Linked DNA regions of Ovis aries. The protein of the gene in region 2 interacts with the protein of the main gene of each other region in a pairwise test. Links are inferred from orthologs where the notes say so. Each region holds a gene or a part of one and is shown on either strand. Other genes may lie near its edges.

Region 1 (3,744 bases), on a different chromosome or scaffold from region 2:
GCTCACTGCCCGACTTGCCCACGTCGGCCGCCAGGCGGGTTCGGGCGAAATCCAGCGGGTAGACGAAGCACAGGGAGGTGGCCCCGGCCGCGCCGCCCGAGGCCAGGTTGCCTGCGAAGTACCTCCAGAACTGCGTGTGCTTGTCCACGCCCCCCAGGAAGATCTGCTTGTACTTGTCCTTGAAAGCGAAGTTGAGGGCTTGCGTGGGGAAGTAGCGGATGACGTTGGCCAGGTTGCCCCGCCAGAAGGACAGCACGCCCTGCTCCTTGGGGATACGCACAATGCAGTCCACGATGCCCTTGTACTGCTTGTCGGCCGCGATCTGCTTGCTCGCGTGCTGCACCTGGGGGGCGGCGGAGGGAGACACAGGGCTCTACCGGGGGCCTGGGCACACCGCCGAGACTTAGAGGAGATTCTGGTGAAGCTCAGACAGCTCTGAGTGACTGCTCCAAGAGGTGAGGGAAAGGTCGGTATGGGTGGGATTCTGGTCAACAGAAGTTCATACGAGCTAGGACATATTTTCGCGGAGCGTTTCTTACAGTCTCAAGGTGCATTCGTCACCGTGAAGGTTTTTAATGCTTTTTCACACACGACAGACAGGGAAGCTTGGCGTGCTGCACCCTGGGGCAGGAGTGAGGGGGAACAGGGCTTCACCCAGGGCCTAGGGCAGACCTCCATGGCCACTTATAAAAAATACACGACCCGAGAGTGGCGAGTTACGATCTGGGGCAAGGCGAGGACTACACCCCCCGGGGGAGAGCAGCTCAGATAGCTGAGAGATTGAGCCAGAGGTGAGACTGGATGAGATTCTGGTCAATGGGAAGTTCCTAGAGCGAGCACACACTCTCGCAGAGCCTTTCTCAGAGCCTCAAGGAGCACTCGTCACAGTAAAAGTTTTTAGTGCTTTTCTAAACGATGAACAGGGAAGCCTGGCGTGCTGCAGCCCATGGGGTCGGCAATGATCGGACACATCTGAGCGACTGAACTGAAACATGAGGTGGGCAAGCAAGAAGTGGGCTCACAATCAGCCACTGGAAACATCTGTCTCATGACCTGGCCTGTCACTTTTTCCCAGAACCCGCATGCCTCATTCCTGCTCTCCACCCTGAGGTCCTTTCACGGGGTCTGAAGGTCAGCAGCACCTGACTCAATACTCATAGAGACGGCTCAGACGGTCAAGAATCACCCTGCAATGCAGGAGACCCGGGTTTCACCCCTGAGTCAGGAAAATCCGCTGAAGGAGGGCATGGCAACCCATTCCAGTATGCTTCCCTGGAGAATCCCATGGACAGAGCAGCCTGGCAGGGCTACAGTCCATGGGGTCGCAAGAGTCGGACACGACTGACACTACTACCGCTTTCAGAGGTAAACAGCAGGTGCCCACAAGCGCCAATTTGCGGTTGACACCTGCAGAGGTCACCAACGACCGACGTGTCGTTAATAAGACATTTACACGGGGCCTTTAAGCTCTCCTAGCATCCTTCCTGGGGAATCCTATTTTCTTTAAGGGTGGCAATCCCATCGCAACGCTAATTCCACTGGCTCCCCATTTGTGACGCTCCAAACAGACCAGCGCAGTTTATTCCACCTCATACCCGCGCAAACAAGTGCGAACAGTGGGCAAGAAGACCAGTACAACTGCGGAGACTAAAGATCTTTCCCCGTCCACGGCCCAAGGGGACGGGACCCCACCCACAGCCTCGCAGGGTCCGTCCACGCGGCTCTCCCCCCGCGCATGCGCACTCCAACTCTGCAGCCCCCCAGTGCGCAGGCGCGGAGGGCGCCGCCGCCGGCCGCCCGACGCGCATGCGGCGCCCCGCGCCCCAATGCGGACATCGCCGCCGGGCGCCCCCCGCGCATGCGCTCCCTCGCGGCGGTGCCCACGTGACGCGACCCCCCGGAAGCCAGCCCGGCCGGCCGCGCGCGGACAAAGCGGCGCGACCTCCCCGCTTCCGGTCCCGGGGCCGCGCGCGCGCCCGAGCTCCCCGGGGCCCGGCGCCGGCGGCCGCGCGCCAGCAGCCTGACACGCACCTGCAGCAGCAGCTTGACGCGCTCGATCGGGGCCACGGCCGTCTTGGAGATGGCGGCGGCGATGCCCCCGGCCAGGAAATCCTTGGCGAAGGAGATGGCCTGTTCCGTCATGGCGGCGGGCGGAGAGCGGAGCGGAGGCGCAGAGAAGCAGAGAGAGAGCCGGAAGGTGAGCGCCGCTGGCTCAGCGCTGCCGCCGCCGGGACCGAAAGGACAGGGCGGCCACCGCGCAGCCGCTAAGGGGCCCGCGCCCCGCCCCGCGGCCCCCGCGCGCCGCGCCCATTGGCTGCGCCGCCGCCCGGGCCCCGCCCCCTGGGCGCGCGCACCGCCCCCGCGCGGCCTGCCGGGAGCGGCGCCTCGTCCCGCCCCGTGGGTCCATACGGCCTTGCCCATTGGCTGCGCCGCCGCCCCGGCCCCGCCCCCTGGGCGCGCGCCGCGCCTCCCGCGGGCTGCCGGGAGCTGCGCCTCGCCCCGCCCCGGGGGCCCCCGTGCGCCGCGCCTATTGGCTGCGCCACCACCCAGGCCCCGCCCCTGGCCCGCGCGTCTCGCCGCGGGGCATGTCGGGAACCGCGCCCCGCCTCTGCGCCGAGCGTGCCCGGGGCGGGTCGCGCTGGGTTGCGTGGCGGCCACTCTGACCTTTTCAAGGTCATGCTTGGCCTGGCGGCGGCGACGAACGACACTGGCGTAGGGGACAGGCCGGGCTTTGCGAAGGCCCGCGCCCTCTCTTCTCCCAATCGTAGCACCGGACGCTCGGGTCCCCAGGCTCGTCCACTCTGGCCGGTCCGATCATTGGGGCCCCGGCTCCGCGCCGCAGACCCCCGAGTCCCGCCCGCGACCCCCACCCCCCCACCCAGCCGCCCCGAAAGGTCCTGATGACCCCCGGCGCCCTCCAGGCCCCTGCTCGCCCCGCGGGACGAGCGATGCAGTCTGTGCGTTCTGACCCAGCGTACGAGACGGCCCCGAACCCCGGCCGGCCCGGCTTCGGAGTAGGGTTTGCCTGTGCGCAGCCCGGGAGACCCGGGTCCGCCCAGGAGAGCGCCTCCGGAGGACCCAGCACCCCCAGCTCTGACCCTGATGACTCTGGGTGCATTTGGGGGTCCCGGGATGGAGGAGGGCCCGCTGCATTTCCAGGACCCACGGGGGCTCAGACTCGGGGTGTCCCTGTCAAGCCGGGCACTGCGACTTGGGTGGCGGGGGTGTCTCCTAGAAGAACAGGGGCACGCGTGTTGGTTTCACAGGCTCACTGACACGCTCACGTGTGTATACGTGTGTCTACAGACATGCACACGTATGCAGCTGTTGCACGTACCCACGCGCCGACAGGTGTGTGCATACGTCACACGCCGCGGTATAGGCCCCCTGCCTCCAAAGGCGTGTCCGGAGACCTTGATGTTTGGAAGGCCTTACGCATGCAGTGTTCGCTCAGTCGTGTCTGATCATTTGTGACTGTGGAAGAAAAAAAAAAAGTGCAACTTGAGAGTTGTGAGTTAAGTTTTATTGGGGGCAAAATGAGGACTGCAGCCCTGGGAGGCAGCGTCTCAGGTGGCTCTGAGCGAGTGCTCCAAAGCGGCAGTGGGGGAAAGTCGATATATGAGGTTTTGGTGAAGGGCGAGTTCATGCTGTGAAGCAGTTTACAAAAGGTTTTTGTTAGTCTTGAGGATCTGATGTCACCCTGAAGGGATTTAGTGCCTCTCTAGGTATGAAGGGCTGATGTTG
Region 2 (3,744 bases):
TAGTCGCTCAGTCCTGTACAATTCTTTGTTATCCCATGGACTGTAGCCTGCCAGGCTCCTAGATCCCTGGAATTCTCTAGGCAAGAATAGTTAAGTGGGTGGCCATTCCGTTCTCCAGGGGATCTTCTTGACCCAGGGATCGAACCCAGGTCTCCCCCATTGCAGGCAGACTCTTTACCAACTGAGCCACCAAGAAAACACTTCTAATTAGGGCGGGGACAAGCACCCACATTTCATTTTTATAAAGGCAAAGGCTTATCCCACTGACATTTGAACCCGAGGCAGCGGAAGTTCTCTGACCTGGCTCACCTCTTGAAGCCTGCCGCACGAACTGCTTAGGGAAGCCGGGAGCACTTATTTGAGAAATAAATCAACATATTTATTCCCGAGAGGCTCTCTGGCACCCCCTCGACCAGTGTTAGCCGCCTTTGGTGTTTATTAGACACAGATAAACCCGATTCTCGAAAGAAACGCTTGCATTTTTCGCAAACCTTTCCAGAGGTCAACTTGGGGCCCCTCCTGCATCAGGAGTCCCAGTGCCCTCCACGTTTCTCGTGCTGGGTCCCAATTCCTGCTGCAGCTCATACTGGAAGCTGTTCCCAGGGGAGAAGAGCAGACCCCCCCCCCCCCCCTCCTCGAAGCCCCCTGCCCCCGGGGGCGCCGGGACGTCGGGGGGCCGTGGCGGCGCGGAGCCGGAGCAGGACGCCGCGCGCACGGCGGCCCCGGGGCCGGCAGAGGGCGCTGCGGCCTCCCCGGCGGGGCTGCGGGGCTGCGGGGCGCGGGTCCCGGCGTGTGCATCTCGGGGAGGCCCGGACGGGGAGCGCGCCTCTCCGCCCGCCCGCCCGCGCGGTCCCCGCCGCCCGCACCTCTCCGGCCAGGCGCGCGGGTTGCGCGGCGCGCTCCGAGGCCCGCGCTTCGCCGCACCCCCCTCCCATCCCGCTCCGCCGCTTCTCTTTGTCCCGGCAAGGCGGCCGGAGGGGCGGCCGCTGCATCCGTTGGGGGGCTTCAGCCTCCGGGTCCGCGCTACCCCGCCTTCCCCGCGCTCCGAGCCTGGGCGGTGCCGGCGCGGGGTGAGCGCGGGGCGCGAGCGGGCGTGGGCGGGCGGCGGCGGGGACCGCGCGCGGGGGGCGCCCCTGCCTCCTCCGCCCGCGCCGCCGCCGCCGCCGGCTTCTCCCCGCAAGTTTGTGGCCCCCCCACCCACGTCTGCGGACCTGCGCGGCCGCTTGGCCGGGTCTAGACCTGTCGCCAAAGAGGAAAACTCGAGCTGGAGGCGGAGGAGGCGTGCGGGAAGCCAGTCCGCAATGAGCCTCTCCATCAGGGCAGCGTGGCTTCCTGGGCACCTCCCGAGGCTATTTCCCACCCAGGTGAGCGGAATCTCCTCTGTCCCGTCCGGCCGGGTCTGGCGGGGCCCCGGGGCCGGCGCTCTCGGACCCTGCGCGGAGCCGGGGAGCGCCCGCCGCGGGGGCGCTGGGCGGCGCGGGGTTGATTTGGGCTTTTCTGCCATCCGAGCGCTTGTTCTTTCTTGCCTGCATCACCTGCTCCGGCTGAGGTTTTTTTTGCAGCTCCTCCGGCACCTTCGCATGCTGTCAGGTTAAACATCCTCTGTTTTCGAAGGGCTGGTAGGTTGGTTCAACCGAATCCCTACCTCTCTATCCCCCACCCCCACCCCAACAACACCCCCAGCTTTGGATAATTTGTTCTGCCTCTTCGTCTTAATTTAGTATGAATGTGTTATTTCCTTTGAGCTGTGTAATGGTAAAGCAGCGAAGCGGTTTGCTACATCCATTTTTTTTCTCTTTTTTTTTCATTCTGAGCCTGTGCACAGAAGGAATTTCAGGCGCACAAGTGATGTTACTACCATTCTATTTTAAATACAAACACGGAAAGAAGTACTCTTGGCAGGGTACCAAAGGCGCCTGTACTCTCTGTTATATAAGTGCTTTTTAAAAAAATATTTGCTCATTGGTAAAGTTATAAAAGGAATTACCAGAGCATCTCTGAAGAGAGGGTGAAGAGAAGTCAGAGCCACAATTTCTGCTTTAAACCTAAACTTTCCTGGAAGATGAACATGGTCTTAGCTGGAGATAGCCTTAAAGATAACATAGGGCCCTTTCTTTGAACTCATTAGGTAAAATTGTAAAACGTTAAAAAAATAGAACAGTTTTGTAAAGGCTCTTGAGAGACTTGGTGAAAATTCTTGAACCACGTATTGATAGTAATAAAAAAGATCCCACAGATATTCTTTGTGGCTTTTAAACTAGTGACTTATTTTATTTTTTATAGCTGATGGAAACTCAGTAATTATGAGCTGCCAGTTATTAAAGATTTAGATAACCTTTAATATCTCTACTTGTGTTTATGGATATTTTTTTTTTTCAGGGAAGAAGACAGAAGTAGGAATATCAAGTATACTGATGTCTGGGCACTTCCTTTTGTGACCGGCACCTCAGTGTTCTGTTCTAATTGGGTTTTGGTGATGCTGTGATATTTGGAATGTTAAAAACTCCCTAGTGATTCCAATCTGTAGCTGAGGTGAGACCCATAGGATAGCACTGTTTCTTCTAATTTGTCACTTTGTAGCCCAAGGTGTGGCTACAGTGGTTTAAAGAAAGTAAAAAACAAGTGGTTAGAAATATGGGGAGAGAAAAATGGTATAGGAAGGGAGATATGTTGAAGAATTATAGCATGTTCACGTCTGTATTTTGTCAAAATATCTTCTTGATTTTTAAAAAATCCACAAGGAGTAGTTGATATTGTTGTTTAGTTGCTAAATCATGTCTGACTCTGTGCAACTGCATGGACTGCAGCCCGCCAGACTCCTCTGTCCATGGGATTTCCCAAGCAAGAATACTGGAGTGGGTTGCCATTTCCTCCTCCAGGGGATCTTCCCAACTCAGGGATCCAACCTGCGTCTCCTGCGTTGGCAGCTGGGTTCTTTACCACTGAGCCACCAGGGAAGTCCCCCAGTAGTTGATGTTTATCGGGATACATGGTCCCCTGTTGACTAAGTTGGGAAGTGGGACATCTCTCTGTGCAGAAGTGACAGTGACGTTGAGTCGTGGTGTCAAGATACTCCTTTCTGTTTACATGGAAAGACGGTCAAGATTTATTGAAAGATCATTCTTTCTATCACATTCAACACTCATTAAGTGAATACAGACTAGCCAAAAAAGTGCAAAAAAGCTTTTATTGTCTTTAAGTTTGGAAATAAACTTGGCTGCTGAATCAGTGTTTTCTTTCTACCTTATGTAATTTCCCAATATTGCAGTCTAGGGGTGGATCTTATGGGTGGTTTGTGAAGGCTTATGTAAGAGCTGCGACTATGCTTTTCGTATTCTGTGAAACTCCCTGTTTTGGCTATTACATAATTGACACAGTGCTGGATGGGAGAAGCCCAAACAGGGAAAGGATGTACAAGCCCAGCCCAGCACAGGCGCTTTCATAATGAATCGCTGCTGCCAAATTAGAGGGAACAGCAGGGATGGAGGTTTGTGAAAGAGAGATAAGAACAGCGTCCAGAGGACCGATGTAAGAGACGACAGTTCTGCTTAGCGGTTTTCTGGAGATTTTAATGCTGCCGTATTAACCTCTCTAGCCTTTTGTGTCTCCCAGCAGAGGCGCCTTGACGGGGAAGCTAATGAATGTTAAGCTTCAGGGGCCCTTACTCTGGCTCCATCCAAGCCCCCGGGAGGGACACTGGCAGCGTGCTCTCCTGGCCACAGAAGTTTGCATTTGTAATTGTGG
Region 3 (3,744 bases), on a different chromosome or scaffold from region 2:
GGGGTGCTATCGTCTTCTCCACATCATTAGGCTACACATTCTGAATTGGAGAAGTCTGAAGGACACTGAGACTGCTGAATTCTGACTTAAGGGCAGGGAAAAGTTTGATGGAGGTACAAAGAGAGGTGATGGCTTCCAGTATCAGTATGGCAAGGCCAGACGCCAGTTAAGATTATTTAACTGTTAGATATCCTGCATGAGAAGTCTGAGAGGGCAGCATCTCAATAAATCACAAAGTCCCAACCTCTAGAGAGCTGAAACCAGCTTATAAGATGATTCTTGACACAGTTCCCTCACTGAGGCCCAGAACCAGAGCACTGTAAAAAAATTTTTTTTCAGCTGTGCCATGCAGCTTGTGGGATCTTAGATCCCAAAGCAAGGACTGAACATGTGTCCTTCAGTGAAAGCCTGGAATCCTAACCACTGGACTCCCCAACACCTTTTTACAGGATCTGTAGCCTACAGAAATTAAGTGACTGGACAAAGGACCCCTAGAGGGTAGCCAAACAAGCCACAGAGTCTCCATCCCCTGACACTCTCACGCTCCCCTTTCATCATCCTCCTTCTTTCCCTTTGACAGGGCCCAAAGTAGACCCAATTGCAATCCTGCTCAGGAACAAAATGGCAGACGGATGGTCCAGTACATTTGGGAAAAGATTCACATGAAACATCAAGAATAAGAATTTTCACAGACAACACACTGACAGAGAGCATGGCCAGCTCCACCAGATGAACTCGTACTACTACAGCACCCAGTCTGTATACCCAGCCCACACTTCTTCAGCCTGCCTTATACTACGCTTAGTACAATCAGCTGTGGGTCAACCAATTTCTTCCCTTAGGATTTAAAATTCTTTGATATCAGGATATCTTATTTATTTTTGTTATCTTTGTCCCTAGCATCTAGCACACTGCTATTATTTATGCATTGTAGACACCAACAATTGCTTCTAAAAAAAAATGAACAAATTGTGGAACTAAGGGTTGAAAGAGGGTAAGGACTCTATTACAGTCAAGAAGGGTCATTGGCAAGCAAGCCCAAGAGAACAGTAACATTAGATCCATACCTGCCTCTCCACTCTGGTTCCTGCCCTTTGCCAGAAACTTCCTGTTCCCACATGGTAACTTGAGGTCTCTGGTTGTCTGGCCGCCTCTCTAAAACATCTTGATGGGTTGGGCGCTGGACCAGGGGAGCGTCTGAGGCCCATGTGGGAGCCATTCTCGGCAGTGTTGGAAGGGGCCGAACTTGGAAGTGGGATGGGGGAATCAGCCCAGTGGAACCTAAAGAATCGTAAGGACAAAGGTACTCAGTTCTCCAGGGAGACACAATCACCAGTCCCCATGCCAGGTCCCACTGACCTGAAGGTCGAAACATCTCCACATTATTTGAAGTCTCTAGAGTCGGTGTACAGCCATCTATGCCCCCCTAAACAATAGGAGAAACAAAGACACTCCAATTCAATTTTCAGGCCTCCTTCCAAAAAGAGAGCCCCTACAATAACAAAGTCATAATCCTTAAATAACAGCCAGGTCCATCCGACTCTTAGCTTTTCTTATTCTACTTCCCAAAAGAAGCAGGAAGTACCCCAAGATCCCTTGCTTGTCTCAGTCTGGTTCCTGACAGACTATGGCAACAGCCATGAGGTGGAGACAATTTACTGAGACAGGCTGAGGGGCTGTGAAGTTTTACTCATACTTTTAGAATTCTGGACAGTGCCTTTACCCTCCTCCTTAAGTTTCTATGGTCTCTGCAGTTCCTGGATGAAGGTGACAATTGAGGTATGCGATGCAGGGGCCGTGAGCCCAGTCTCCAGAGTTCTCTCCATGGCTCACCAAGACCTTGGGGAAGCCCATCCAGACACCACCAAGCCATGACTCCCGGGTCCTTCCCTATTAGAGCGCTGACCCAAGGCCTGGCCCCTGATGAATGCGGCCACATGTAGCACAGAATGCCTCCCCAGAACCCCTGGGGGAATCCAGGCAGCCTGGACTCCTTAGCAGAAAAGCCAGCTAGTTTCGGACATCTTATCCAAACCGTGCCAGCAACTTTCCACTCAGTTTCTCTCTATCGTCCCCTCAGCTTCCATTCCTGCCTCCCACCTGCCTCTCCAGAGTCCTAGAGCAGAGAGGGCTTGTCAAGATCTCCCCACCCTCCCACCCGAATTCATCTATTTTTCTCCCAATCTGGGATCCCTATCCCTCCCTACATCACTATTTGCTTTTATCCTGAAGGAATTATGCTGGCCCCTCACCCTCTCATGTCTCAGTAGCCTGCACTCCCTCCCTCCTCTCTCCCAGATCCTCCTGAGTCTTCGCCCTGCTGGACGCTGAGCTCTAAGGCTGTTCTGACCACCTCATTTGTTCCTTTACCCTGCCCTTACGCCCCTCCGCCCGGTGGACCCCTGAACCCACCCCCGCACCCCCTCTCAGCCCCTTCCCGCCCCCAACTGACTCTTCCCGAATGCCCCTTACCCAGCGCGAGAGACCCCACAGCCCTTTGGCCACACCCCCTACACCTAGCTCCCGGTCGCTGCCTGGATCCCTGGCCGCGCCTGCGCAAAGCGGGCAGGTTGGCGGGACGCTCTTAAGCCTGTAGGGTTACCTCTCCGGAAGGAGGCGGGGAAGCGGCGCACGCAGGCGCAGTAGTGTCTAAAGCCAGGCCCAATTAAGGCGTTAGGGGTTTCTCCGCGCCCTGGCGGCTCCTCCCAACTCCGGGAACCCGGGAAAACTTGTGAACTAATCAGAAAACGCGGAAGGCGGGAGATCCCAGCGCGTCGCCCAATGGAGAGAAGGAAGGCAAACGAGATGGCCAATCAGAAACGGCTCGGGGGACGCGCTCACTCCGCTCGAAGTCCGGACCCGGGAATTCCGAAGGCGGGGTCGACGATGCGCGCGCGCGGAGACCGCGCCCCTCCTGGCCCTGGCTTCTTCGCTGTCAAACAGCCGCAGGAGCACCAACCCCGGCCGATCCCGAGAGGTCCTGGGCTGCGGCATAGGCTGGCATTACCTGGAGAGGGAACCATTCCGAGACTGCACAGCGCGGTAGATACGAATCCGGGCTGGGGCGGGGAGGGAAAAGGCTGGATTTGTCTTGAATCATCCTGGGAAGCCCTTTCCTCTGTTTTTATCCCACCTGGAGAAACCAGAAAGCAGGGGTTTAGATCCACTTTGTTGGACAACGTAGAGCCCCGTTTGCACTGCCTTTGAGGGGTGACTGAGTACATTTCCCACTGGGGGTCAAGCTAGCTAGTTATGAATGAGGAATTGGTTAGAAGAGTGAAGCGTGAGCTAGCAGGCGGGTTACTCTATTAGGAAAAGCAGGTTTGACAGGAAGAAGCTTCTCATCTCTAAATTACACTGAAGAGGCAAGTTAGTATATCACACAGAAGCAGCGCCCCTCCCCCGCCCCCCCCACACCTACAGTTCGAATTTCCCTATAAGCTGCCTAATGTATTGTTGACTTGCCCAGATTGAAGGCTCCTGGAATATTTTGCGGCCTGAGGATCCGATTCAACTTCGTGCCACAGGACGCCTTCTATTTTGCACTACACTGGAACTTTCACCAAATTTTTTCCGTTGCAAAGCTGTTGACAGCCAATTTTACATCGCATCCTAGGCTCCGTGCACCCTGAATTTGCCCTACTCAGGGAGTGTGCTCAAAGTCGAAATTGCACAAAGGATAGCTCAAGTTTGCATCAGACGGAAAGTGAATTTAGGCCAGCTGTGCACGGCCCAGGAAAGTGG

The links.
Region 1: the proteins of MTUS2 (region 2) and SLC25A6 interact in binary tests that used the Homo sapiens proteins (3 or more experiments, as listed by UniProt). The two-hybrid records come from large-scale screens. The link is inferred for Ovis aries from reciprocal best matches to the Homo sapiens genes MTUS2 and SLC25A6.
Region 3: the proteins of MTUS2 (region 2) and CCHCR1 interact in binary tests that used the Homo sapiens proteins (3 or more experiments, as listed by UniProt). The link is inferred for Ovis aries from reciprocal best matches to the Homo sapiens genes MTUS2 and CCHCR1.

Annotation. Positions count from the first base shown.
Region 1 is NC_056080.1:6,638,993-6,642,736, reverse strand, and holds the start of SLC25A6 (ADP/ATP translocase 3), read right to left. Parts: upstream 2,143-3,744; coding exon 2,032-2,142; intron 344-2,031; coding exon 1-343. UniProt on the Homo sapiens protein: ADP:ATP antiporter that mediates import of ADP into the mitochondrial matrix for ATP synthesis, and export of ATP out to fuel the cell.
Region 2 is NC_056063.1:31,674,528-31,678,271, reverse strand, and holds the start of MTUS2 (microtubule-associated tumor suppressor candidate 2), read left to right. Parts: upstream 1-1,207; 5' UTR 1,208-1,364; intron 1,365-2,379; exon of another isoform or gene 2,380-2,532; intron 2,533-3,744. UniProt on the Homo sapiens protein: Binds microtubules. Together with MAPRE1 may target the microtubule depolymerase KIF2C to the plus-end of microtubules. May regulate the dynamics of microtubules at their growing distal tip.
Region 3 is NC_056073.1:27,062,879-27,066,622, reverse strand, and holds the start of CCHCR1 (coiled-coil alpha-helical rod protein 1), read right to left. Parts: upstream 2,133-3,744; 5' UTR 1,940-2,132; coding exon 1,724-1,939; intron 1,427-1,723; coding exon 1,360-1,426; intron 1,282-1,359; coding exon 1,068-1,281; intron 1-1,067. UniProt on the Homo sapiens protein: May be a regulator of keratinocyte proliferation or differentiation.